6 linked regions of the Oryctolagus cuniculus genome follow. The protein of the gene in region 1 interacts with the protein of each later gene in a pairwise test. Links are inferred from orthologs where the notes say so. Each region holds a gene or a part of one and is shown in the gene's direction. Other genes may lie near its edges. The genes, in order: CDC42, ARHGDIA, PAK3, CDC42EP1, PLEKHG4 and MYO9A.

Evidence for each region.
Region 2: the proteins of CDC42 (region 1) and ARHGDIA interact in binary tests that used the Homo sapiens proteins (3 or more experiments, as listed by UniProt). The link is inferred for Oryctolagus cuniculus from reciprocal best matches to the Homo sapiens genes CDC42 and ARHGDIA.
Region 3: the proteins of CDC42 (region 1) and PAK3 interact in a two-hybrid assay, tested with the Homo sapiens proteins (2 studies listed by BioGRID and IntAct). The link is inferred for Oryctolagus cuniculus from reciprocal best matches to the Homo sapiens genes CDC42 and PAK3.
Region 4: the proteins of CDC42 (region 1) and CDC42EP1 interact in binary tests that used the Homo sapiens proteins (3 or more experiments, as listed by UniProt). The link is inferred for Oryctolagus cuniculus from reciprocal best matches to the Homo sapiens genes CDC42 and CDC42EP1.
Region 5: the proteins of CDC42 (region 1) and PLEKHG4 interact in a two-hybrid assay, tested with the Homo sapiens proteins (2 studies listed by BioGRID and IntAct, with this or other methods). The link is inferred for Oryctolagus cuniculus from reciprocal best matches to the Homo sapiens genes CDC42 and PLEKHG4.
Region 6: the proteins of CDC42 (region 1) and MYO9A interact in a two-hybrid assay, tested with the Homo sapiens proteins (3 studies listed by BioGRID and IntAct). The link is inferred for Oryctolagus cuniculus from reciprocal best matches to the Homo sapiens genes CDC42 and MYO9A.

The regions. Positions count from the first base shown.
Region 1 is NC_091438.1:148,727,328-148,731,954, reverse strand, and holds the start of CDC42 (cell division control protein 42 homolog), read left to right. Parts: upstream 1-1,666; 5' UTR 1,667-1,789; intron 1,790-4,627. UniProt on the Homo sapiens protein: Plasma membrane-associated small GTPase which cycles between an active GTP-bound and an inactive GDP-bound state. In active state binds to a variety of effector proteins to regulate cellular responses. Involved in epithelial cell polarization processes.
Region 2 is NC_091448.1:1,032,149-1,036,618, forward strand, and holds ARHGDIA (rho GDP-dissociation inhibitor 1), read left to right. Parts: upstream 1-1,367; 5' UTR 1,368-1,500; intron 1,501-1,840; exon of another isoform or gene 1,841-1,971; intron 1,972-2,172; 5' UTR 2,173-2,196; coding exon 2,197-2,386; intron 2,387-2,476; coding exon 2,477-2,560; intron 2,561-2,685; coding exon 2,686-2,762; intron 2,763-2,838; coding exon 2,839-2,902; intron 2,903-3,108; coding exon 3,109-3,308; 3' UTR 3,309-4,109; downstream 4,110-4,470. UniProt on the Homo sapiens protein: Controls Rho proteins homeostasis. Regulates the GDP/GTP exchange reaction of the Rho proteins by inhibiting the dissociation of GDP from them, and the subsequent binding of GTP to them.
Region 3 is NC_091453.1:82,428,394-82,432,878, reverse strand, and holds the start of PAK3 (serine/threonine-protein kinase PAK 3), read left to right. Parts: upstream 1-1,542; 5' UTR 1,543-2,372; intron 2,373-3,186; exon of another isoform or gene 3,187-3,352; intron 3,353-3,471; 5' UTR 3,472-3,577; intron 3,578-4,485. UniProt on the Homo sapiens protein: Serine/threonine protein kinase that plays a role in a variety of different signaling pathways including cytoskeleton regulation, cell migration, or cell cycle regulation.
Region 4 is NC_091442.1:114,476,814-114,481,459, forward strand, and holds the start of CDC42EP1 (cdc42 effector protein 1), read left to right. Parts: upstream 1-1,477; 5' UTR 1,478-1,632; intron 1,633-4,646. UniProt on the Homo sapiens protein: Probably involved in the organization of the actin cytoskeleton. Induced membrane extensions in fibroblasts.
Region 5 is NC_091449.1:50,553,731-50,558,539, forward strand, and holds the start of PLEKHG4 (puratrophin-1), read left to right. Parts: upstream 1-1,635; 5' UTR 1,636-2,461; intron 2,462-3,168; 5' UTR 3,169-3,208; intron 3,209-4,338; 5' UTR 4,339-4,498; coding exon 4,499-4,809. Other genes in the region: SLC9A5 (sodium/hydrogen exchanger 5), read left to right, coding at 136-608. UniProt on the Homo sapiens protein: Possible role in intracellular signaling and cytoskeleton dynamics at the Golgi.
Region 6 is NC_091443.1:111,243,293-111,246,741, forward strand, and holds the end of MYO9A (unconventional myosin-IXa), read left to right. Parts: exon of another isoform or gene 1-481; coding exon 482-921; 3' UTR 922-2,788; downstream 2,789-3,449. UniProt on the Homo sapiens protein: Myosins are actin-based motor molecules with ATPase activity. Unconventional myosins serve in intracellular movements. Regulates Rho by stimulating it's GTPase activity in neurons.

The DNA.
Region 1 (4,627 bases):
CAGGAAAGCCGCTCATAGTGTAGTTTTGAGAAATAAAATCATATATCCATCAGACTGCAGTCTCTTTTTGTGCAATGAATGTGTACACACATAGAAAAAGTTCTTGAAGGTGCACACCAGTGTGTCAGCAGTTGGTGTCATCGGCTGTAGAATACTGCTGAAGTTCACCTGCAGATCCCTCTCTTTTCTTAAAAAAAGAGAAAAGATTTGCTTATTTATTTGATGGGCAGAATGACAGAGAGCAATATCTTCCATCTGCGGGTTCACACCCCAAATGCTTGCAACAGCCACAGCCAGGAGCACGGAGCTCCACGGGGATCTCCCACCTGGGTGGTAGAAACCCAAGTACTTGGATCATCATCTGCCGCCTCCCGGGACACTGGCGGGACTCTGGATCTGCAGTAAGGAGGAGCAGGGTAAGCGGTGGCTGAACCTGCTGCCACTCGCTGGCTCCCGTCTGCTGGTCTCGATACTCAGCCTTCCCTGTGCTGGGAAACCCTGGTGGCCAACTACAGGCAGCCGCCTGAGCCGAAGCCCAGCGCTGCCACAGCCAGTCTTGGTGACCACAGGCAAGTCCCTTAACAGGCTTGAACTTCAGTCTAGGCATCATAAATGGGACTTGGGTTGGGTAACAGTTCTTATATCCTAGGGTGGCTTTGTGTTTTCTTTAAGATTTATTTATGTGAAAGGCAAAGTGATGTGTACAGAAGGAGAGACAGATCTTCCATCCGCTGGTTCACATGGGGAAGCCAGGAGCCTGGAAACACATCTGGGTTTCCAACACGGGTGGCGGCAGCCCAAGCATTTGAGCCATCCTCTGCACCTCCCCAGGTGCATTAGAAGGCTCTGGGTTGGAAGCAGAACAGCGGGAACTGGAGCCAGTGGATCTCAGCTAGTGGCTTAACCTGTTATGCCATGAAGCCATCCTGGGTGCTTTCAGTTAGCTACTACTACAGGCAAAGCTTCAGCACCAGGCCTACAGCAGACCCTCTAAGTGTCGTCTTCATGCATAGACAACGCAAAAGAAAGCACGCCTACTGATCTACCAGAATCACGCCTCTGCCTTGGTGGGTCAGTAAGGGAATCCTTCCTGAGATCAGCGATGTTTCTCCAGCACTGGGGGACATCTGAGAATAACCGAGGAGCGCCCTGTTCTCCCGAGGCTCGCGCACCAGAAGGGAGCAGAGGAGCAGGGGCGGTGACAGCAGGATGGCCCAGGGCAGCGGCAACACCTGAGGGCTGCGAGCCACCCAAAGGCCTGGGCGAGAGGGGCAAGCAGGAGGCGCAAGGCCCGTGGTGGGGAGGCACGGGGAGGCCCAGGAGGCTGCAGCAGGGACACCGCGGTGTAGACAGAGTAAAGCAGCCTGCAGCTCCCTGACCCAGGCTGGCAGGGTGACCTCGCGCAGGCCCTCGTGGAGAAGTTTCCTTTTCTCTGCGAAAACAGGGAGAATACTTTGCTTCACAAGGTTGCAAAGCCCCGAAGACTCGCCAGCGGAAGCGCTCGGAACACCGCAGCTCACAGCATCCTCGCCAGCACAACCACGGGAAAGAGCCGTGCAGAGCACAGCCCAAACGGACGCACCAGACTGCGCGTGCGCGAGGCGCGGGCGGGGCCAGGGCGAGCAGGCACCGCCCGGGACCGCCCACGCCTCTGCTCCCTCCCCGTCCCTCCCACTTCCGCAGGCACCCAACCGTGCGTCTCCTGCGTGCTGACGTCAGGTGCGTGCCCCTGTCCGGCAGCGGAGGAGACCCCGCGCAGTGCTGCCAACGCCCCGGTGGAGAAGCTGAGGTGAGTGCGGGGCCCGAGACTCCCCGCGGATGCGGCTTCCCCGCGGTCCCGTCCCCGCCGCGCCGCGCCCTGCTTGTCCCCGTCGTCGGGGGCAGCCTGGCTCAGGCACCGCGGGGAGCCCGCGAGCGCGGAGCGCGGGGCAGTGCGCGGCTCGCGCTGCGCCCTCCGGAGGCGCCCGGGCCGGGTTCTGTGGGGGGAGCCGCGGGCAGGGGCTTGTGGCGGGGAGGGCGGGGGGCTCGGGGTCGCGGAGCCGGGCTGGGCCGGGGTCGGGGAGCCGGGCCGAGCGCGCGGGCGGGGCCGGGCTGTCACCGGGCAGCGGCGGAAGGAAGGGGTCACACCCATCCCGGCCGCCGGCTCCCCTCCCCCGCGGTCGGTCCCCGCGGTCGGCCGCGCGCGGGCGGCGGGGCCCTGGTCCCGGGCCGGGGGCCGTGGAGCCGCTCGCGGGCGCCCGGGCGGGCAGGCGCCGGGCCCCGGAGTGGCAGGGCTGGGTGCTGCCCACCGCGCTCGGGCTTCCACTTCCTGCTTCGCCGCGCGCCGCCGCGGACATTTTGCGGCGGGCGGGGGAGGGGAGCGGAATTGCGACCTCGGCGGGGCCGTGGCCGCGGGCAGGGCGGGCAGCTCGCCCACTGCCCAAGGCTGGGCCTGCGCCTCGCGGCCCGGGGCGGGTCTGAGCCGGCCTCCGCCGCCCTCCCGGTGCCCCCGAGCCGCCGTCGCCCTCTCCCCCGCCGTCGCGCCCTCCCTTGCGGGCCGGTCCCGGAGCGCCGCGCGGAGCCGTCCTGGGGCCGCCTGCGGGGTCGTCTGACCGGGGCGGGGTGGGGGGACATTTTCTTTGTTCATTTGTTTTTTTCCTCCCCTTGAAGTCCGGGGGAAACGCGGTGTGGACGATGACGTCATCGCCGTCGGAGGGGCGAGCGCTTTCACTCCTCCAAGCCGGGGCCCCGCAGAGGGCGGCGGCGCGCGGGGCCTCGGGCGGTCCCGGGTGGGTGCCCCCGGCCGCCCTGCCACGCTCCCGCGCGGAGGTGCTGGTGAGCTCCTGCCGCCGCCCGAAAGGGGAGGTTTAAGGTCTCAGGAGCACCTGCCCCGCCGCGCGGACCGTGCTCTGCTGGAGCGGGCCGGGCCCGGGGGATCCTTTGCCCCAGGCTCTGTGACCCCCCACCGCCCCCCATGGCGGACTTCTTGGGGGCGGAGGACCCACCCACGTGGACTCGTGCAGGGATATGTTGAAAACCTGTTTTTACACCCAGTCGTTGCTTGCTGGACACTTTATCATTAAAATTAATTTTGGATTTTGAACCAAAACAGTACTTACTGCTAGCGACTTTGTGATGGGTCCCCCTTGAGGTGTCCCGCGGCCGTCTCCCCTGAGTGCCAGGCGCAGCGCACAGAGAGATCACTGCCCGGCACAGCTGCTCCAGCTGTGGTAGGCGCTGCGGGGAGGTAGCTCGTGTCGGAACAGGTCTTTCCCAGCCCGTCTCGTTTGTGCGGATGAATGGATTGCTTAAGGGGTGACGGGTTCACCTGAGCTTTCTGTGGTGTGGGCGTCAGGACGCGGATGGCCGTGGAGCTGGCCAGGTGCGGGGTGGGGGGTCTTCTGAATGCGCTGGGAGCCTCGGTGGGCTTTCTTTTGAGAAACGCACAGTTGTGACACTCGCCTCTTGCTGAACTTCGTGAGTCAATATTTGAGAACTTTCCTCGTGTACATAAATTTGTATCTTTTCTTTAGAAATGTACCAGGGTAGTTTAAGTTTTTAGACTTGAGGAGATAAGAGATTGATAACTGAGTATGACAGATGAGCTCTTTTTGCAGTTACTTGTCCACTACTTGGAAGGTATCACACCCACTGTTGCCTGAAAATGCTCGCCTGCTGTGGCCGACACGTGCCTGGTTACGCCGGGTCTATATACGGCCTAGAGTAGGTGGAGGCTTAGAGGCCGAGAGGGTCCGGAGCTTTCTCTCACTGCAAGGATGGTTTCTCTTTATTAGTCTCCTTTTCCACTTGGCGTTTTTTGATCTGGTTGTTTTTGAAGTGGTTAGAGTAATTAGATATTTTCATCCAGGAGCTGTCAAGTTAGGAAAGCACTGAGGTGCAGTCTGCGTGCATGTCTGGTGAGCGGTGTTAGGCTTGCTTAGACGTAGAAGTCAGTTGTATTTTTATTTATAGATAGATTTTTTTTTTGACAGAGTGGACAGTGAGAGAGAGAGAGACAAAGGTCTTCCTTTTCCGTTGGTTCACCCCTCAATGGCCGCTGCGGTTGGGGCGCTGCGGCCAGCGCACCGCGCTGATCAGGAGCCAGGAGCCAGGTGCTTCTGGTCTCCCACACGGGTGCAAGGCCCAAGGACCTGGACCATCCTCCACTGCACTCCTGGGCCACAGCAGAGAGCTGGGCAGGAAGAGGAGCGACTGGGACAGAGTTCGGTGCCCCGACTGGGACTAGAACCCGGTGTGCCAGCGCTGCTGGCGGAGGATTAGCCTATTGAGCCGTGGCGCTGGCCTAGATAGATTTTTAGTGCAGGTCTCTCTTGTTGAGAGGATGAGGAACAGGTGATGACCCCTCCCCTGAGAGGAAGGGGTTAACATTGTGTCCCTTTATCTCCCATAAATGGATCTCTGTAGCCCAGGTTGGTAAGGGCCCCATTCCAGGCTTCTGTGATAAAGCCTTGTCCACCGTTGTCTTCCAGATACATTTCTTGTCCAGTTAAGTTCCCTGAGGGCAGAGCTCTGGCCTGGCCCGGGCACTGCTGTATCCCCAGCTCTAGAGTGCTGCCGGCCACACTGCAGGCTTCAAGAAATGTTTGTCAGCTGAATGAACTTGATGATGTCTGGGGAACCTTTTCCC
Region 2 (4,470 bases), on another chromosome or scaffold:
AGCTCTGAGAAGCCGCACACCTCGGCCTTGCAACAGAGTATACACGGCAGGCCCTGTTGCATTCAATGTTTTTATTTGAACCAGGATAACTCCATTTTTTTTTTTTTTTTTTTTTTTTTTTTTTTGAAAATCAGAGTTAGAGGAGAGGTAGAGAGAGAGGTCTTGACCATCCGCTGGTTCACTCCCCAGTTGGCCCCAACAGCTGGAGCTGCGCTGATCCAAAGCCGGGAGCCAGGAGCTTCTTCCGGGTCTCCCATGCGGGTGCAGGGGCCCAGCACTTGGGCATCTTCCACTGCTTTCCCAGGCCACAGAGAGAGCTGGATCGGAAGAGGAGCAGCCGGGACTCGAACCAGCCAGAGCCAGACCCGCCCCTGGGTGTGGGGGGGAGCAGGGGAGGCAGTGCGGCCTGGGGGGGGGGGGGCAGTGCGGCCGGGGGCAGTGGCAGTGGCTGGAGATGCTCAGGCCCATTCAGTGTCGGGGCGTCGCCCTGCCGGCCTGCTCCAGGGACCCCTCTGTCCAGGGACCCCTCTGTCCGGCGCTCACGTCCATGGAGCCCCGTCTGCCAGGTCCGCCCAACCCTGCAGGGACGGCAGAGCTGAGGGAACCCCGAGACCTCCAGGGGAGGCGGGAGCAGCCAACCAGCGAGGGCCACGCGCCGGACTCCACCCAGGTCTCCGCCACGGGTGCCAGGGACCCCAGGTCTTGGGCTGTCGCCTGATCTCCCCCAGCCCATTAACAGGAAGCTGGATGGGAAGGGAGCAACCAGGACCGTCCCGAGTGGTGCTCGAGCCACGGTGCCGGTCAGCGCTGCCCCGAACCGGATTCCGGCCGAGGAGCAGCAGATGGGGGCCGCGGTCGAGGCCCCGACAGCTCCGGGGGCTGCACTGGGGGGTCCCGTGCCAGCCCCAGCCAGGGCGCCGAGGGGCTCGCCGACGCCTGCAGCAGCTGTCGGCGGGGCGGGCCAAGCCCCTCGCGTCTCCCGCGCGGGAGGCCTGGACCGTGCACCTGGGGAGTGAACCGGCGGGGGCAAGATCTGACCTCTCTAACTCGGCCTTTCAAATAAATAAATATTAAAGAAAGAAAAGGACAAGCTTCAGGCTCTAGTCCACCCCGGGGGTCCTGACGACGCCCCCCCCCGCTCTGCCGCTGCAGTGGGCAGCTGTGTCCCCCCGCCTGGCGACCCACAGGGCCGACCGCGGGGCCTCGCAGTGGCTGGCGCGGGAGGCGTCCTGGTCCCTCGGGCGCCCACCTCGAGGACCACGCCGCCCAGCGGGAAGCGCCCACGAGGCCCGGCCCGCAAGATGGCGCCCGCAGCGCACGCGCCCTGGCCGCAGCGCTCCCGCCGCGCATGCGCAGCCCCGCCGGCCCGCCCGCCGAGAGCGGAAGTCGCGTTGACCCCGGAAGTGACAGGCGGGCGGGCGGACGGACGGGCGGGGCGGCGGACGACGTTCGTCATCTGCTGCGGGAGGGAGCGCGAGAGCTACGCGGTCGAGCCCTCCGGTGAGTGGCCCCTGCGGGGCCGAGCGCCGCGCGGGTGGGCAGCGGGTCGGGCGCGCCGGCGGCGGCCGCGGCGCGGGGGAGGAGCCGCCTTTGTCCCGCCCGCCCCGCCCTGCGCCCGCGGCGGGTCTCGGCGGGGCGGGGGCTGACAGCGGCGGCCGGCGCGGGGCGGGCCCGGGCGGGGCGGCGGCCCCACGTGCGGAGGGGCCGCGGGCGTGGGCGGGGGGCCGCCCGGGCCCCGCGCGCGCTCCGGCGGCCCTGCGTGCAGGGGGCCGGGCCCGAAGCCCCCTCCCGGGGGCCGCGGGCGCTGCCGCCCCGGCCCCGCCCCGCCCGTCGCCCGGATTGCGGGCCCTGCGGAAGTGCGGGCCCCGCCCTGGCTGTAGCCCGCGGCCGCCGCTGCCGGCCCGGTTTGTGCGCGGGGCGTTGTGCGTGCGCTGCGCTCTGACCGCCTCCAGCCCCGCCCGGAGCGAGCCGGTGGGTGCTCAGGGTTCCGGGGCGCGCAGGGCGCTGCAGCCCCTCCCGGATCTCGGGTCCGAGCCCCTCGGCGTGGGGTGGCCCTCGTGCCCCGACGCGCGGGCGCCAGGAGAGGCCTTGCGGGCGAGGGCGGCCGCGGGACGCGGGAGGGCCGTGGTGGGGGAGGCGGCTGCCGGCGGCCACAGCCCTGCGCGCCCACAGGTGTGCAGGCAGCGAGCGGCGAGCATGGCTGAGCAGGAGCCCACGGCCGAGCAGCTGGCGCAGATCGCGGCGGAGAACGAGGAGGACGAGCACTCGGTCAACTACAAGCCGCCGGCGCAGAAGAGCATCCAGGAGATCCAGGAGCTGGACAAGGACGACGAGAGCCTGCGCAAGTACAAGGAGGCCCTGCTGGGCCGCGTGGCCGTGTCCGCGGGTGAGTGGGTGTGGCCGCGGGGCACCTGTCCGCCCTCGCCTGCCCCGGCGGCCGCGGCGGGCGGGGGTCTCACCGGCCGGCTCTCCCCAGACCCCAGCGTGCCGAACGTCGTCGTGACCCGCCTGACCCTGGTGTGCAGCACGGCCCCGGGCCCCCTGGAGCTGGACCTGACCGGTGAGTGGGCGCCCGCGGCCCTGGGTGGGGCTGGCTGCCACCCTGTTGCTTCCGCTAAGTGATGTGGTGCGGGGCTGCCCCCTGGCGGGCCCTGGCGGAAGTGCGCTCGTGTGCTCCCCGCACAGGAGACCTGGAGAGCTTCAAGAAGCAGTCGTTCGTGCTGAAGGAGGGCGTGGAGTACCGGATAAAGATCTCCTTCCGGGTAGGCCGGGCGCGCCGCGGGGGCGTGGGCCCGCTGACCCCGCTGACCCCGCTGACCCCCGCTGTGGCGCCCGCAGGTGAACCGAGAGATCGTGTCCGGCATGAAGTACATCCAGCACACCTACAGGAAAGGCGTCAAGAGTGAGTGCGCGTGGCCACGCCCCGCGTCTGGCCACGCCCCCGGGAGCGAATGGGGGCAGACCTGGGGAGGGGGCAGGAGTGGCCACGCCCCGTGGGAAAGGGTCTGGAGGGACGCCTGAGGCCACGCCCAGTCTGGTCACGCCCTCGGGAAGGGCGGGGCGCCGAGGCCACGCCCCGCGCCGCTGACCGCGCCCCGCGCCCCGCAGTCGACAAGACCGACTACATGGTGGGCAGCTACGGGCCGCGGGCCGAGGAGTACGAGTTCCTGACGCCCATGGAGGAGGCGCCCAAGGGCATGCTGGCGCGCGGCAGCTACAACATCAGGTCCCGCTTCACGGACGACGACAAGACGGACCACCTGTCCTGGGAGTGGAACCTCACCATCAAGAAGGAGTGGAAGGACTGAGCCCCCCCACCGAAGTGCTGACAGGGCCCCCGCGGCCCTCCCCCCTTGGCCCTCCTGCGCCCACAGGCCCCGCCCGCGGTGGTCTGCCGTTGCTGCTTCTGCCTGTGCTGCCGGGGGAGGCCCGGCCCGAGTCTCCCTGCCCGCTGTGTTCCCCAGGTCCCCCCCCACCGCCACGCCCGCGGCCCTGGCCCTTAGGAGGGAGCGGGGCGGCCGCGCGGGAGCTGGGGTGCGTGAGGCAGCCCCATCCACTCCCCGGCCAGTTCATCTGTCGCTCAGTACCGTCTAACCATGATGCCTTAACGTGTGGAATGCGTCCCGGGAGCTGCCATTCACTCCCCGTGTCTGCCCCGCCCACCGCCCCCGCGACAGGGGAGGGGCGCCAGTGCCGCCTCCCTGCCCCCCAGCCCCCTGGCCTGGCCAGCCGACCCCTGTCCCCCGGCCGCTGGGGCGGGCCACGTTGCCAAACGCCAGGCACTTCTGTCCCGTGGGGGGGGGGCAGGCGTCCCACACCTCCGCCTGCCCTGTCCCAGCGGCCAGCACTGACCCCTCCCCCGCAGAGCCCCCGGCAGACGGTGCGGCCGAGCCTTCCTGCTCTCCGGGCCGCAGTATTTATTGCCTCTGTTCGTGCCGTCCTGGGCCCTCCCGGACCCTGCAGGACAAACCTGGGACCAAGTGCACACCGCTGGGGGCCGTCCCCGTGCCTCCCCCCAGTCTCCGTGTGGCGTCTGCCGGGCTCGGCCTCCACAGCCGCAGGAGCCCCCGCTTCTCCTCCCCCAATTGGGAAATAAACTGCCCCGAGGACCCGCGTCTGCTCGGCCCTCTTTGGGGTGGGCGGTGACCACGGCGCGGGAAACCATGGGACACTTGGGGCAGAAGTCTGCCCAGGGGCCCTACACGATGGGGTCCAGCCTCTGGCCCTGTTAGCCCAGGGGATGGACCCGGGGCTGGGTGCAGGCAGGGGAGACCACAGCCAGGGCCCTGCAGGGGCCCAAGGAGGAAGTGGATGGGGGGGGGAGAGGGTTCCTGCCCCCAGGCGTACAGGGGCGGGGGGGGGGGGCTGGCAGCAGCCCAGGCACCTGGAGAGACCCGTGGCCATTGAGGTTGCTCTCACCTGCTGTGCCTGCAGGGCTGGCGTGGCCGGGGCACCCACTTTCTCTGACCA
Region 3 (4,485 bases), on another chromosome or scaffold:
TTTCCTGGATGGTTAACGATGCTGAGCATTTTATCATATATTTGTTGTATTTCTTATTTCGAGAAATCTCTAGTCAGATCATTTACTCACTTTTTAATTGGTTTGTTTCATTGTTATTAAGTGTCTTGAATTTCCTATATATACTGGATATCAATTGTTCTTCAAATAAAGTTTACAAATACTTTCCTCAATGTGTAGGCTGTCTCTTGTAAGTGTTTTAACAAAATCAGTAGCGTAGAACCATATTTGATTCTTAGCAGGAATATATGGTGTCATGTTAGAAAAAACATGGGCTTTGGACTTAGGGAGACTTAGATACAAATCCCATCTCTGCCACTTTCTACAATGTTTATGTAATACTTATGTATGCATAAATATATATTTTAATTAAGGAAAATAAAATGTGCTAATTGACCCATTAAAAACAGTCTAGATTATATCAGTTCACTTAGTCTTTGCCTCTCTCTTTCCTGTTTTGTCACAGATCGAGTTGGGTTTCTAAAAAGATTTATTTATTTATTTGAAAGGCAGCATGAGAGAAAGAGAGAGAGAGAAAGAGAGATGTCGCATCTACTGATTCACTCCACAAATGGCCACAAGGAGCCTGGAACTCCATCTGGGTCTCCCATGTGGGTGACAGGGTCCCAAGCACTTGGGCCATCTTCCACTACTTTCCCAGGCACATTAGTAGGGAACTGGACTGGAAGTGGAACAGCTGTGACTCAAGCCGGTGCCCATATGGGATGGCAGTATCACAAGCCATGGCCTAACCCGCTGTGCCATAATGCCAGCCCTGGCCATTGCTCTTTTTTTCAGTTCTCTGTATCATCAGAATTTAAAATGAATTAGTCCAAGGGAAGCATCCCATTCTTCATTTGCCTGGGATGTTCTTTTTTGGTGGATCTGGGGATCTATTATAAGACTTTTCTTAAAGATCTCTGGGCAGATATTTTATTTCACTCTTGGTCTTGGAATTTGTTTTGCTGGCATGACAGAGAAATGATTGCTGGATGCTACGTAGTGTTGAGAAAATTGAATAAAAGTGCATGAGGAAGGGTCATTACCCATTTTGACCATTCAAGTATGTGAGGATATATTTGTCTTTATTAAAGTTTCAAAGTGGAGAGGAAAATCATCCATAGTCTTACTGATTGAAGCAATTTTATGATTATTTTCTGAAGGCATATTTTACACTGTTATAATCTGAATGGCTTACTCTTTGTTTTACTTAACTTTTTTCTTTAATGACAATCTACTCTTTCCTTCCAGGGATTTACCACAATTTACATAATATAGCCAAATCCTGGGGAGTATGGATTTTGAAGTAGCAAAGGATGATTTGATATTTTAGAAGGCTTTTGGGCAATACTATTTTTTTCTAAAAAATTCTAAAATACATTTGAACTGTGCCCTAAAAAGAAGAGAAGCCATTGAAGATTTGGGGGGAAAGGATGGACATGGAGAATCCCGTTTTAGTGAAAAAAAAAAAAAGCATACATAAGGTGTATACAATCACGTTCATCAAAGTATGCACAGATTAATTCTTTTTTTTTTGGTTTGTTTTTGTGTAATGCTCTGTTTTGAAACGTGCTGCGTTTCCTGTGCAGAATAGCATCTTCCCTATGCAGATTTGCCTTCTCTGAACCCCACTGCTGAGTCTGCTTCTTGGAGTTTTCTGTGCACTCTAGAGACTCCACCAACGTCACCTGCTTGCCTGACAGGTGGTGTCCCAAATCCAAACCATTTCCCCCTTAGCAAGTATGCCCCTGTAGCTGGATAGATTTCCTGCTCTGAAAATTTATCAGAGAGCCCAGTCTTCCTAAGGGGGCAGTTAAGGAAAACACATAAATGCCCCCACCCCTTCTCTAGTCCCGTGCTCCTCATTCTTGACGGCCCCACCTCCGTCTAGACAACCCTGACTGTGTAGAAGTTTCCATCTCCTTTCCCCTTCCCTCTCCTTTCCCCTCCCCTTCAGTTTTCCCCCCTCCCAGGCGCTTCCTGCCTGGAAACAAAAGATTGGTCCCCAGTAGCCCACTCAGGGCGATTTTAGTTTTATGCTCACCATCTGATTGGCCTAGGTACGGTGCAGAGCCCGGGTGACGTCATAGCAGACAAGGGCTAGGGAGCGGTTGCCGAGCAGGAGCCCTACCGCGGGCGGGCAGCTGTGGCCGCGAGCAGCCTGGGATCGCGCACCGCGGGGCCGCAGCTTCTCCCTGCCTGGAGCCAGTGTGCGGGGGTGGGATTAGAGCCGGGCTGAGCGGGCTGGGCCCGGGGCTGCGGCTGCGGCCGCGGGGCTGCGGCTCCCCAGCCCCGGCTGCAGGAGCGCTCGGAGGTAGAGGAAAGGTCTTGACGGGGTGGCTGAACCGTGGCAGGTAAATCTCGCGAGTCCCGGCTCCCGGGCTGGTTCGGGGGAGGGGGGACGGCTGGCGCCTCTGCGAAAATGCTGGGCAGATGTTCTGCCTTGCCAGGCCCCCTCACGCTACCGCGGAGCCCTCGCCTCGAGTCTCCTACATGGCTCCCCGGGAGCCCTGAGACCAAGAGCGCACTTTGCATGATCCTGGTTCGTGAACGCGGACAAGTGGGTGTGTCCGGGCCGTTCCCGGAGGGCCTGGGCTTCTTCGCTTGGGCAAACCCTAGACTCGCTTAATGGGGCCTGGGCCGCTTGAGGCAGAATCAGCTCTGAAAGCTACGTCAGCCTGTAAGTCTTTACCTTCTTCCCGCACCCCCTCCCCAGCCACAGTAGCCGTGACAGCAGCCACCCCCCATCCCCGGGAAGGGGAGGGGGTGTGGCCGCGCTCCAGCCAAGTCCACGGCTGAAGAGCCCTACTGGAGCCAACAGAACAGAAAAAGTGACGATTTTTTGAAACGCGTGCCTTTGCCCCTAGCTTTTATTTTTCTTTATCCCTATCCCCCTTTTTTTTGGTGGGGGGATGGTAATGACATGAGGACTCTTTTTTTTTCTCCTGTGGGAACTGAAGTGATGCAATAAATGGCCCTAGAAACCAAGGGTCCCTCCGTTGGCCTCCTCTGTCTTTGTCTGGGGAGCGAGGTCATTGGGTGCACTATCTCCACCGCCCCCCTCAGTTTCTGAACTGGCTCTGACAAGATTGCTGCCGCACTTCGGGGCCAACTGAACATTTTCGATTCTGACTCTGACAGTTTTCTCTTCCCTCTGTGTTGTTTAAGGGGTGAAGTGGCAGTATCCATGGGGAGGATAGTTTTCCTGAGGAGGGAGCCACAGGGCCCACTTGTCTTTCACTCCCCACCCCCCAAACCCACCTTCCAGAATCCAGTTCCAGATTCTGGACTTGAGGGTTCTGGACTGTGGTCTGTAGAAGAGAAGGAGAGAAGGGTGAGTGGCTTGGCTTTGGGAAGCATGATGGGGGCGGTTGTACTGCAATTTGTTTTTAAATGGCTTTCAGCAGGGAAGACTTTAGCCATGTTAGTCTTGCTCCCCTCATGGTTTTGCAGACTCAAATCCAGGCCAACTGGATGACTGAGGTGTTGGAACAGAAGGAGGCCCATTCCTGTTGGTGAAAACACTGTGGCCCAGTTCTGGGATGAGCATGGTATAAAGGTCAGTGCGGTTTTCACTAGGCTATTTGCAACGTCATAATTGGGCAGGATCCGTGATCTGGTACTTGAATTGCCCAGTCAGGGGCATCTTTGGGCAAAAGGGCTGAATATGGTAATGGGTGGTAAATTGGTTGGGGCTTGGAGACAGCCACATAAACCTCGGTTTCTGGACCCCAAATATCAGACCCCTCCATTTTCATGCAAGAAGCAAGATGCAAAGACACTGGGAGGTATGCTGGGTAAAAGTCGACAGCTGAGAATCCCAAGGCCAGCAAGACCTTGAGGATGTCAAGGAGCATATCCTCCAGGCCTTCGGACAAGCAAGTAGACCTTGGAGGAGAGACCTGAACAGAGACAGGAGACTCCTGTGCAATGGGAATACAGGCAAGGGAGCATAACATCCTAGGAACATAGTCACCAGCTGACCATCCCTGTATGGTACAGAATTTCCTGGTCATAGATCCAAGTAGTTTACAGAGCAAACATGTTTGCTGAGGTCTTGGGGGAAGGTGGGTTGTTGCTGTGACAGGTGAGGGGGATGAGGAATAAATGCAGGGATGGGGAGGCGGTGCCATCAGAGATTGTAATACAAGGTCAGAGGCGAAGTTACTAATGAGGTCAAAGCCCCCCCAAAAAAAATCAAATTTAGAAATCATATGGAGTAAGTGGGATCAGATGGGGTAGGTAGGATAAGTTGCAGTAGGGACAAGAAAAGCCAGAGAGACATGTATGTAAAGCCATCATCTTCCCATAAAGCCCAAAGCCCTGATTTCCCTGATGAGATGAGCACATTTTGATGATTGAGGCAGCTGTGGTTGGGCCAAGAATGAGAACTAGCTGTTGAGGGAATCCATAGCCTTCCCACTGGCCTAAGCAAGGGAAAGAAAAGCAACTTGATGTGCAGCCACT
Region 4 (4,646 bases), on another chromosome or scaffold:
CGAGCGCTGGCCGTGGCAAGAGCTGCAGCGGCTCCAGCACTGCCCTCCCAGGCCTGTCCTTGCTCTCAGCTTCTAAAATGCACCTGCCGCCGCCGCTGCCTGCTGCCTCCCACCCCTGCTTTGGGTGCGGGGGGAGGGGGGGGATGGGCAGCCACCGGCCAGCGCCGCCTCCCCCCTGCCCCGTCCCTCCTTCTCGGGAGCAGTCCCCTTCCTGCTCACCTGTGTTCCTCAGGGCCTCCTTCCCGCAGTTCTCCACGGGGCAAAACCCGCCAGGAGTCCATCTCCAGGGAAAGAGCCAGAATGACCTGCTGCACCGCCCGCCCAGAAGCTGGAATGAATGCCATGTGCCTCGGTCTCCCTCCCTGTCCAGCTGGGAAAACCAGCCCCTCCCGCGGTGGCCAGCATGAGGAGGCGTGGCCTCTGGGGACAGTAGGGACCTTGTCTCCTTCACCTGTGTGTAAATACAGCCCTGGCCCAGCCAGGGCAGCACGCGTACAATTTCCTGCCACCACACCTGCCCTCTCCAACGGAAGCCTTGGCACCAAGGCCGTGCTGTGCCGGCTCCTGCCAGGGGTGCGCGCCGCTGCCTTTAGCACTTAACACAGGTGTCACCTGTGGGAGCCCCCACCCCGGCTGCTGGTAGGGGCTTCTCTGGGCAGTGACCCCTCGTGGAGACCAGAGGCCGGCACAGCCACGCAAGGCAGGAGTCACCCATCTGCATCCCCTTTTTGAAGATGGTACAGGGCTCTGGGAGGCCTTGTCCCCTCTGGGGACTGGGGGCCAGGAGCCCTAGGCAAAGCCATGTGAGGCGTGGCCTCATTACCTGTTCTGCAAGTCGTCTGGGTGCTGACAGAGGCAGAGAATGCTCGATGCCTGCTGTGACTGTCCCACTGTTAAGTTGGGGAAATTGAGGCACGGAAGCTATAGAGCAGTGGCCCCAGGCTCCAGACTCCATGACCCCGAGTCCCACACTGCAGCACTCTGGGAGCGGTGGGGGCAGCGTGTGTGGCCAGGTCTGGCCACGCTGCCACCCACAGAGCCTGCAGGGGGGTGGGAAGCATTGGCGGGCTGGCGCAAGGGGGCCGGCTGCCCTCCATTGCAAAACTCCATGTCCACGCAGGTCTCCCGGGCCTTCAAGGATCTGGACCACGCCTCCTCGGTGCCCAAAGTCTCGCGGGGAGCATTCGGAGGGGACCCGGGGCGAGATGACCAGGCCCAAGGCCCCGAGGCTGCGCGGGGAGCTGTTGGGAACGCACTGGCGCGGAGCCCCCCCAGCCCTGTCGCCCGGCTCGCCTCCCCAGGGTAGCTCGCACATTCCCTGCTCGCCCTGCCCCAGGCCGGCAGAAGCCTGGCCCAGCGCCCCCCGCCGCGCCCCTGCAGCTCTCGCGGTGTGGACAGCGCCCGGGACGGGGCCGGGGAGGGGGCCGGCCCCGCCCGCGGGCTGAGGGGAGGGGACGGGAGGGAGGGCGGGGAGGCCGCGCGCCCACACCCCGCCCCCGCCCCCGGATCCAGCCCGCCGAGCCCGCGGCCAGGGCGGTGCAGACCGGCCCGGCGACTCTCTCGGGCTGCGCGCCGGGACGCGCAGCCACCGCGGCCCACGAGTGCGCCCGCCCCGGGACTCGCCGAGACCAGGTAATCGCCGACGGCCCACTGGGCGCCGACGCGGGTCGGGGTCCGCGGCAACCCCCGGGAACTCCACACCCTTCGGCGACCTCGGGGGGCCGGGCCGGGGAGGGTCTGGGCCCGCGGGAAGCGCGCGGTGCCAACAGGAAGGCCCGGAGCGTCGCGGCGCGGGCAGGCACGCTCCGAGTTTTCGGGCTGTTTGGCAAAGTCCCGGGCGGCGGCGGCGCGGGGAGCGCTCCTGCGGGCAGAGGCGCCGAGCCCAGGCCGTCTGCGCTGCTTCCTGCGTAGGGGCTCGGAGGGGGCGACGGGCGGGACGTGGGGCCCCGCGGTGCGGGCCGACGCCGGAGCGGGAAGTGGAGGGGGGGCCGGCGTAGACCAGGCACCCTGCCCCCTCCCCAGCCGCCGCCGCATTCCAGGCTGGAGCCGCGGATGAGGTCATTCCGGCCGGTTCCCCTCCGGCCACGACAGCCGGCCGGCCCCTTCCCCGCGGAGCGCCCCTCCGCCCCCTGCCTTCCCTGGTCCTCCGGTCCTCCGGTCCTCCAGAGCGAATGTTTAGGGCGAAAGTCTTTCCCGGACCTCACTCTTGGCCGGGTCCCAGCCGGCTGTGCCCTGGCCCCAACTGTGAGAGACCCGCCAAGTTGGAAGCCCATTTTCCGGACGGGCAGGCTGAGGATCAGAGAGGCGCTGGGACCCGAGACCCAGCTCTGACTTCGGGTGGTTGGTGGCGCAGGCCCCCTTCGCGCCTCCCCGGTCTCTCTGGGCTCCCTCTTCCTCCACCTTGGGGCAGGAGAACTGACTGCCCCCCTCTCTGGCCGCAGCTGCCCTGCCCCCCCCAAGCGGCTTGGCTCAGAGGGGCTTGAAAAGGAGTTAACCCCCTCCCCCTGAGGTCATAGCAGGTTTGGGGGGCCTGCTGTCCTGCGGGGAGGGTGTCACCCCGCCGGGCGCCTGCAGCCTTGTGCACACTAGCGGTGGCCTCTGGGGTGAGACGTGGCACTGCTCAGGACACAGCCGCGTGCCGGTGACCTCTGGGTGACAACTGGGCTGTGGGGCCACCACCTCCCCAGGGCTCAGATCGTCCCTAGGCCTCCACAGCGGCCCCTGTTGGCCTCTCTGGTGCCGCCCCCCGCCAGGCTCCTGCACTTGCTGGCCTTATACCTGGCCCAGCCCCTGACTGTCCTGCAGGGTGAGTGGAAGGACCCGGGCACACGGTGACTGCGTGGCGACCGCGCTGGCCACGACGCAGGCACTGAGCTGCAGAGACACAGGCTCCCGCCCTCCGGGTGCTGGGCACCTGCGCCTCCACCACCTGTGCCCCCTCCCCCGCAGACTCCACCCCAGCCCTGGGGCATTTACTGTCGATGTTGGCGCCCAGGCGCGCCAGGCGTGACCCAGGGTAAATCAGGCTCCATTCTGAGCCTCGTTTTTCTCACCTGCAAAATGGGTGCTGCGACCATTCACAGGTAGAATTCCTGCGCTGGGGAGGGTAGGAGAGCCCTTCCCTAGGACCCCCAGAGCCCAGCTTCCTTCTGTGCCGGTGGGGCACCCCGATGGCCAGCGGCGCCCTTGTGGTCAGCTACCCCCAAGGGTCTCCACAATGAGGTGTAGGATTTGAACCCAGAGCTGCCCTGCCCCAGGATCTAAGGGCTTGCTGAGAACATCATCTCTCCTTACGGCTGCCCTGGAGGGGACCCATCTGTGATGCGGTGCCCGGGCCTCTGCTGCACTCGGCTGGGTGGGGCGGTGGGGGTGACCCTTGGGAGGTGTCCAGAGGCACCTGGGAGGCTGGGAGGAGGCCGTGCTTGGGGGTTGCGTGGAGCTGGAGCCCCTTTTGCTGGGAGGGGAGGGGCTGCCTTGAGAAGCCTGGAGTTGGGGTGAGGGTGAGGTGGGTGTGGCCACAGGGCCAAGCCCCCACCAGGTACCTGCCACGTGACCTTGGAATGGGCCGCAGGGCTGCTGGGGAGCGAGGTGACATCATGGCACCGCTGGCCAAGTGCAGAGCGCTTGGTGACCTCAGCCACATTCCACGAGGACACGGCGGTGCCTGGGGTGCCAGGGGGAGGATGATTCAAGAGGCCCCCCAGGGGGAGGAGCCAGCGGGTGGTGGGACGGGCGAGCAGCAGTGGGGGACAAAGCAAGCTTTGTCCGGTGCCTCTTTTGTTGTTATCTTGTTCCTTAACCTATTTTGAATTTCAAATAACAGTCAAAGGGCAGATTTTTATGCTGCAAGAGGTGGAAGTAATTTCTTAAAGAAAAAAAAAAAAAGGTTGAGGCTCCAGGGTAGGTGTCCTTGTCCCTGGCTGGTGGAGGTGAGTGACCTGCCCAGGGTCACCCAGCGGGACACAGCGTCCCCGCCTGCGGTCACCGCTCGCTCGCCGGGAGGGTGACCTGTTGGCTCAAAGCTTATCACAGAGCTCCCCTGTGAGGGAGTTGGCGGGGATCCGGGCCTGGCCACGTGGATGAGCCAGGCTGGCTGGGGGCCTTGGTGTGTCCCAGGCTCTGAGTTCAAGTTGCGACCAGCTGTCGCCACGTGACCCAGAGTGGGCTCTGCCCTCTCTGGCCGTGGCCACCAGGGCGCCCTCAGCCCAGGACGTCCTAGGAAGCACCGAGGGGCAGAACCAAGAGACCCTGGGAGAAGGCCGGGGCGGGGGAGAGGGGGCACGGTCGGCTTTCGGCCCCAGCAAGCTTTTTCCCAAAACTTGTTCCTACGTTGGTTGACAAACCGTGATAAAGTCCTTCCTGCAGGCCTTCTCAGAGCCTTGAACACGCACACCCAGGTGCGCAGGAGGCAGCTGGAAAAAGCCACATTTGACCACAGGGTCCTCTTCCCAGGAAGCACCTTGAAGGCCGGGGGTGGGGGCCGCTCTGAGGAGCCTCTGGCTGGCGGTTTGCACAGCAGTACAGAGGCCCAGGCCAGGCCCCGCCTCCCTCCTGGCGTCATCAAGGTTTGGGGCTCAGCTTCACCCCGCCCCCTGTGTAGCCTTGGCCGAGTCGCTTCTCTCGGTGCCTCAGTTTCCCTCCTCTAA
Region 5 (4,809 bases), on another chromosome or scaffold:
GCAAGGCACTCATCAAACAATCACAAATGCATGTCTGATGGCAACTGTGGGGTGAATTTACTTATGAGAATGTGTCTTTACTCGAAAAGATCGCACTGCACTGGTAACAAGCTTGTGTGTATTCTCTGTCCCCAGGAAGCTTTGAGGTGTGTCCAAGCCCACGCATCATCCCCCCGTCCCCAACCTGTGCAGAGAAGGAGCTGCCCTGGAAGAGTGGGCAGGGGGACCAGGCGGTGTATGTGTCCTCAGAAACCACCAAGATTGTGCCCGTGGACATGCAGACGGGCTGGAACCAGAGCATCTCATCCCTGGAGAGCCTGGCATCCCCTCCCTGTACCCAGGCCCCAACTCTGACCCGCCTGCCGCCCCGGCCCCTGGGTGCTGAAGAGCCCCGGGCCGCTCTCGACCTGCTTTCTGATCCCCGCCCTGGCTTTGCCTTTCCCCCCAGCCTGGCCAAGGCTGGCCGCTCCCGCAGTGAGAGCAGTGCTGACATCCCCCAGCAGCAGGAGCTGCAGCCCCTCATGGGCCACAAGGACCAGACTCATCTCAGCCCGGGCACGGCTAACTCCCACTGGTGCATCCAGTTCAACAAAGGGGGCCGGCTGTAGCGCAGGGTCTGGGGGAGGAACAGGAGGTGTAGTGTTCTCAGCGCAATGGGCAGCCTGACATGGGACCAGAGGGGCCTGGGCTGAAGTAGCAACTGGGTCTCCTTGGGGCTGGTCAAAAGGGTTTCCTGGGCTGGTCCTCACAGGGACCCTTATCACCATCCTCCCTGCTCCTAACCCCTGCCAACTTCCATTTCAGTAAGGTACCTACCCTGGCTCAGGACCCAGTCCAGAATTTCTAAGGGCTAGGTCCAGAGACTTGGGTAGCTGATAGCCCTTCCCCAGTGGGTCTTCCTGGGGTTACTGTAGGCAGCTGCTCTTGACCCAAAACAAAGGCATCACTCCTCAGCAGATGCTGGCCTGCCTGCCCTCCATGGCGTTGGGGTGGGAGGTAGAGCAGGCCTCAGTATTGGGTCTGACTGCCCTGTAGGGTCAGGCACCCGGTCAGTTTTTTCAGGGCAGTGGAACTCTCTGCCTCCACTTCTTGCTTCAGCTCTTCCCTGTGCTGCCAGGTATCAGGGCAGTAGTTCAAGGCCAGGGGAACAGGCCAGGCTTCAGTTCAGGGGTGCTTCTCAGCCAGGGTCCCTCCGGGGATCAGCTGCTCTGAGTCCAATCTGGACTTTCCCGATGCTTGGGTCTGGGTTTTCTGAGGAGGGGATGCTATGGCCTCTGGGCTCCCGTGTCACCACCTCCGCTTTCCCCAAACAGGGGAGGAACCAGGCCTCCCAGGGCCGCTGCTCCACTGCCCTGGGGGCTGGGATGCCTGGCTGCAGTGGTAATGGGGGGCTGACTAGTGGCAGGTGATTTTCCTGGGGTTAGCACCTGCCTTGTGTTTTGTACCTTGAGCCTAACATCCATTAAACATCTCTCAGATGGACAGGTGTCCTGTGTGCGTGTGTCTGTGGGCTCCAGGGGCGGGAGTGCCAAGGGCATCTTGTGAGTAAGTGGAAACTTCCAACCGCCTGGCCCAGGGCTCCTGGGACGGAGAACAGAGAGCAGATACGAGGCAGGACTTCAGCCCCTCTGGCCTTCTCCATACCTTTCCCACACTTTCCCCCTGTTGGGGGCAGTCCTGAAGAGGGGAGTGCAAGGTTTTGGGCAGAGTCAGGGGAATGACAGTGGGTCTCATCAGCAGGCCCACAGCTCCCATTTTATTTTTTGCCTGGGTTTATGTTGACAAGGAATGGGAGGTTGGGGGAGGGTGGGGAAGGGGCATGGGAACAAAGTCCATCCCCGTTTTATGAGCTCAGTGGAAAAGGCTGCTGAGGGCAGACTCTGCTGCCAGCAGAGCCACAGAGATGGGCTTCGTGAGTCACTGCTTGGTCCTGCAAGCTCAGCCCATACAGCCTGCTGTGGTCAACCGCCCCGGGCTGGCTCCAGGCCCAGCCCCCCAGGGTTCTCCCCTCGGCCTGTCTGTCCCCGTTTCTGTGTGTACCTTTGCCGTCCTGGGCTGTGCACTGGGTGGCTCTCTGCATCTTCTCCAGCTTCCTTTCAGGCACGGCCTCTGAATCTGCCTCTCTTCTTGTGACTCTGGCTTCTGTCGACTCACAGATGCGGAGCCTCAGGAAGGCAGGGGTGCTGTGACGCATCTCAGGCACCCCCGAGCGTTTATTCCGCGCCAGGCCACGTGCTGGAAGGACAGAAGTGGACAACATGTAATCTGTTTCCGTGACGCTTACAATGCACATTCTATGAGGAGTGGAGAAACCAGGGCTAAGCCCTGCCCCTCAGTGTGTCCCCGAACCTGTCCGCTGTGCCCACAGGTGCCAGGGTCTGCTAGGGCCTGTGGCTTGAGGCCTCTTTGCCTCTGGCATCGGGAGGACTATGTGCCCGGCAGCAGGTCTAGCCCAGCTCATGTAAGTGTGCCTGGGCGGGCGGGGGTGGGGGTGCTAATGGGCAGAGGTAGCAGCAGCAGAAGGGGAGGGAGGGAGCAGGAGCTGGTGACTCAGTGAGGGCGGCCCTGGGACAGAGCTGGGGAGGGAGCACTGGACCCAGTGCTCACTGAAGCTAGAGGAGGTGGGGAGGGAGGTCTGGCTAGGGGTTGGGGACGGAGCAGGGCAGCTCTGAGGTTCCTCTCTCAAAGCCAAACCGGGCCATGAAGAAGGCTCCTTGGTAGTGGGAGTCTGGATTCTGGGGGCTGGGCTGGGTGGGAGGCTGCTGTTTTCCCACTGTACCTACTCCTGATGCTCAGGTCCACAAGGAACACTCTCCCACCTTAGAAGAGGGAAGCCAGTCCACCCATTCTCCCCCTGCCCGGGGACCAGGGGTCTGGGCGTGCTGTGGGACTCAGCACCTTCTCCTCGTCACACGTCCCATCTCCTCACAATCTCCCCCACAAATCTGGGGGGAAAGGCAGGCCAGGCCCACACGTCCCAGAGGGACCCCGAACGTCAGAGCTGGGAGGGCTCTCCCCGCTTTCCAAGGGACTTTCCCCAGTTCAGGATGGCCTGGCTAAGGGTGAGAGAGGAGGCAGGGCAGGAACACTGAGCGGGAGTGTGACATCTGGGGTCTCCCTAGTCCTCACGGCAACCCCAGGAGAGAGGAATGACATTTTTCTTTACAGGTGAGGCTCAGAGAGAAGAGTACCTGGAACCTGGCAGCAGGTAAGTGGAGGAGCCGGGCCTGGGCCAGTCCACTGGCTCCAGGATCCCAGCCTTACTGGACTTTGTGGGGGAGGGCAGAAAGGCGTGGCAAGGGGGCAAAGGGGTGGAGGGTCTGGGCCTGGCAGGCCTGGGTCAGCTCCCACCACAGAGCCCTCACCACCCCCCACCCATCCTCCAGCCTGAAGAGCAGCCCTTTCCCAGGGGGTTGTCTCTCAGCGCCTGGGTCTGCGGACTTAAAGGAAGGTGGGGCTGCAATACAGGGCCCCTCACTTCCAGCCCCCGGGAGGATTCCCCGTTGGTCCCCAGCAGCCCCAAGCAGCCGGCTGGGCTTATGGAGTCTCCAGGGGTTCACATTTTCCCCCTCTTTGGGCATGCCTTGAGGGCTGTGAGGAGTGAGTGGTCTCCTTTTGCTGAGGCAGTGAGGACAAGGCAGCGCCCCTCTGCCTCCCCTCCGCCCCCTAGCGTGAGCAGACGCCCCCGCCCAGGCCAGCTCCGCGACCACCCACCTGCGGGCTCCCCACGCCACTCACCCTGGGCACCAAGGGGCCCGAGACGCCGAAACGCCGAGCGCGGGGCGCGCCGAGCCCGCGGCAGGGCAGGGTGGAGCGAGCCGCGCGGCCCGCGGTTGGAGTGTGGCGAGCAGGAGACGCTGCCAGGGGTCGGCGCCCGCTGCCAGGCGCCGTCTGCCGTCGGGACCCGCGAGGTGGGCTGTAGTGCCGTCCTCCGGCCCCCAGGGGGCGGCGCGGCGTCCTTGGCGGCCTGGCCTTCTCTCGCCCGTGGCCTGGAGGCGGCGCCCTGGGACGCCGCGCGCTCACGCTGTCGCCGCCGTCGGGGCTGCTGTCGGTTCGTTCGAGGCCCCGCTTGCGCCGCCACTCGAGCTCCTGGGTTTCCCGCGGCGCGTCCCCGGGGGGCGTGAGAAGGCACGCTCCGGTCCCGCGCAAGGGCCAAGGCCAGGCTGGGCCGGCCATGAGGCAGCACGAGGCATCGCCACGCGCACCCACGGGCGTCCGACCGGCTTAGTGTGGCCGTGGGGGCGCGTCCGAGGGTGGGGCCCGCCGGGCAAAGGCTCCTGGGAGCGCGACGCGGGCTGGACAGCACAGGAAACCCCTGACGTGCTTTCTCCTCCCCAGGTCCTCGGGTGGGCTGGCACCAAGCCAAACATCTCCTACTGCCTGTGCTCGCCGAGTCCTACCAGACCGCCGTCCCGGTTCCTGAATGAGCTGGGGCCTCCACACCGCGGTTCAGCCCAGCCCCCGCTTGTCCTGAGCAGCCCCACCCTTACGGAGGGTGATGGAAGGGCCCCTGGAGGATGGAAGTGAGTCCCCAGAGCCCCGGAGTCATGCCACCGACCGGCAGTTTACGGTGTGCAGTTTCAGGGATACCCGGGAGGAGGACCCCAAGCCCCCAAGCCCCACAGTGGGAGCAGCCCAGGGCAGAGGGCCACAGGGCAGCCCCTTGTGCGGGGAGCCTCAGTTATCCCCAGGACAGATGGCTGCGGCTGGGCCGGGGCTCAGCCCGAGCGGAGCAGTAGGAGGCCCCTCAGCCCGGGTGGAGGAGGTGGCCCCTGATGGCGATGGTGTGGAAAGCCTCCTGTGCCCCAT
Region 6 (3,449 bases), on another chromosome or scaffold:
CTGGAACTCCTTCTGAGTTTCCCACATGGGTGCAGGGCCTGGGCCATCTTCCACTGCTGGATTGGAAGCGGAGCAGCCAGGACATGAACCAGTGCCACATGGGATGTTGGCATCGCAGGTGGCGACTTTACCTGGCATCCACAGTGCCATCCCTGGAAGGAGTTTAAACTGGCCCATGCCCCAGGGAGACACAGACCTCACCACATATCTTGGTCATTTTTGAAATGGCCTCTCCTGGTGACACTGTCAAACGCCAGACTTCCTTGGCGCCAGTTCTGAAGTGGTGCCTGCAGCAGTGGGTGGTGGGCTGTTTGCTCAGGGACACCTGCACCAAGCCGGTCCGTCTGAGCCCTGTAAATCCTGGCCCAGCCAGTCCATCTGCTGTGTGAACAGACACGATGATTTGCTTTAGAGGGAAGCGTCGCCCAGTGCTGGTGTCCTCGGAGGGGACTGGTACAGCACTGGTGTCTTTTTTCTTCAGAGAGAAGCTCCGCCCTTAGCTCCCTGAAGGCCTCCGGCAAGCTCGACCCTTCAGGCAAGTCGCGAAAGCCGCTCAGGAAGCAGCCGGCCTCTGTGGCTTCAGCGGACTGCTCGGCCCCTTCCTGTCCGTCCACCACCGCATCATCTCATGGGACCAGAAAGCGGTTTCAGATTTATTCCAAATCTCCCTTCTACCGAGCTGCCCCCGCCGGAGAGGCCCTGGAAGGAGCGCCGGGCCCGAGCAGATCCCTGGAAGACAGGCCTCAGTTCATCAGCAGAGGCACTTTCAACCCTGAAAAGGGCAAACAAAAGTTGAAGAATGTGAAAAACTCACCTCAGAAAACCAAAGAGACCCCAGAGGGGCGCAGGAAGCCTGGGGACCCCGACGGCAGCTCCACACCACAGGTAGCGCTCTTTGGAAACCACGAGTTCATGGTGTGACCTGGTGGCCGTGTGTCCTGTCAGCGCATCCACGGCAGTCCCTCCTGCGTGCAGCCCCGCCTCTTGCCCGAGCACCTGGCTGCGACCTCTTGTACAAAGGGGAAGGCCTCTCGAGGCCTGCTGGGAACAGTGCCAGCCGGCCGCGGCTGCTGTGCGTGACTTGAGACCACACTAAAGCGAGCCACCTGAGCCTGGGCCCTGGGTTGGCTGTGCGTTCCTCTCCTCCACCCTCTCGGAGCCTGAGGGACCCTCGGACTTCTGACATTGGATGAAAATGTAGACACCTTTGTCAACCATGAAAGCAAAGCCTTTGGGTATATTTTGGGATGGTTAGGAGCTGGGGTGTATCTAATTTTTCCCCAAGGTTTATAAACATAATATGTAAGCCCTCTATTTTAAGATTTTTTTGAAAAGCACTCCGTGGTGTAGTCTGGAGGAACATGCAGTGTGTCCATGAGGCGTTGGAGCGTGAGGATGAGAGCACACGTGTTGTCTGTGCTGCTGGCGTGGCCAGCACTGCTGGCTCAGCTCCCGGACAGCCCCGTTCCACCCTGCTCCCTGGGCCAGCGTCAGATGCCTCTCAGAGACCCAGGGTCCCAGCACAGGAAGCTTCTGCCCTGACCCCCACTTTACCTCTGTGCAGACCGAGCTGCAGCCACGCCCCGCCCACCACAGGTCCACACAGACTGCGACCTCCTGTCACGTCCCCAAACAGTCACGCACACCACTGCATGAACAAATGTTAGAAAGCTGCCAAAATATCTCCCTGAGTTTTTAATGTGACCCCTCTAACTTCCGCCTTCCTTTCCTCAGACCGGCAGTATTAAGTAGACGAGACAAGAAATCCAGGACGACTTGAAGCTATTTTTGTTAATATTCTGTGACTGAAGTTTACTGTAAATATCTGTGTATAGGATGCATATTTCTTTTTAACCGTGCGCTTCCCTCCTTCCTCACGGACTTTCTTCCCGCAGGTGGGGGCTGTGGCTGGGTTGAAGGAGGAGTAAGGCCATTCTTGGTAACCGCCGGTGGTCCCCATACACCTCAGTCATAATAATGCTGTAAGCATCTTAGCGTTTGTGGGATTGGACATGTTTTTTGCTATTTATGATTATGAAAAATGAAACATGATACCCTGGAGATAAGTACATGGAAATGTTGATTTGTAAAGTTACTAAATGCATCTGTCTAACCACCACACGCACTGCTCAGCCAGAGCCAGAGCCGTCTCTCACCCGAGTTTTGGTTTTTCCGCTTTCCCGACTTGCCTGTTTGCAAGTTAGGGGAATCCTGTCTTCTGTTAAGGCAGAACCCCGCTGTGCCCCAGCACCGAGCCTCTCGCCACTGCTCGGTGGTTCTGGGAGCCCCTCTGGGTGGCAGCTCTCCTGGCTGCGGCTGCCAGCTGGGCCTGGGCAAGGTGAGCCCCCTGGTCTCCAGATGGTGATGGTAACCGGGTCAGTGCTGAGTTCATGCCCCACCGACGCCTGCCGTCCTGCCGTGGTGTTCCGGGGAGTCCTCGCGTGGGAAGCCTCTCTGCGAGGGACCCCAGCTGAGCTGTGCTGTGGCAGATTGCGGGGACAGTGACGTGCTGCCCGGCGCTGTCACTCCCCACTCGCTCCACAGTGTTGCTGAAGCACCGTGGACAGAGGGCTCACCCTTGCTGGATGCTTTGCTTTGGCCCGAGAACACCTCTTGGCACCCAGTCCTCCCTCGTAAAATGTGTGTGGGCTTCGGCAGTTAAAACTACTTACACTATAGGTCACTTTATAGGAACTAGGTGATGGATGCTAAGAGACTTTATAATTTTGCTCAGGGACCTAAAACCTGAATTTGGATAAAAACTAAATAAAAGCTAATGTTTTCTCCAGTAGATTTGTGGACTTCCAGTCATTTGGGAGGTGGGAGAGCGCTGGAAGGGTCCAGCAGGTGGGGCCCCCTCTGAGGGAGAGCAGGCCGCTGTCCTGTGGGTGGCAGGTGCAGCGAACCCGGGACCCCAGAACTTGTTTCCTGTGGTAACAGTTGTCACTTAGGTCCCCCCAAAGTGACGCTGCGTTGTGATCTCCTAGGGCTGAGATCTTTGACCTCGATACGTGTCCCGTTTGTGGCTTCCTAGTCCTTCTTTTCTTTGGTCTCCCAGCAGCAGGGGGGCAGCCCCACACTTGTAGCCCACCCTGAGAGACTCAGGGCCCGGCCGTCACATGCCGCATCCCCAGCCCTGGTTGCTCCTGACAAAGCTGTTCTCTCTCCACGCTGCGTATGTATTGTGGGAAACGTAGCAGAAGAAAAGAAGGGTTTGTGTGTCGCAGATGAAAGCAGGCTGGCAGCAAATCCAGGCAGGCTTCAGGGAGGTGAGCCATGGTCAGTCTGCAGAGTACTTAGTGCCATGTAAATCACGTTGCCTCTCGGGGCTGGGAAACACCCAGGACACTCAGCCCTGCAGGGGGGGGTGGGGAGCTTGCCACGTGGGCCATCCCAGTCCTGGAGGCCGCGCCTTCTCACTGGCACTAACAAGGTGCTCCCGTCCCCAG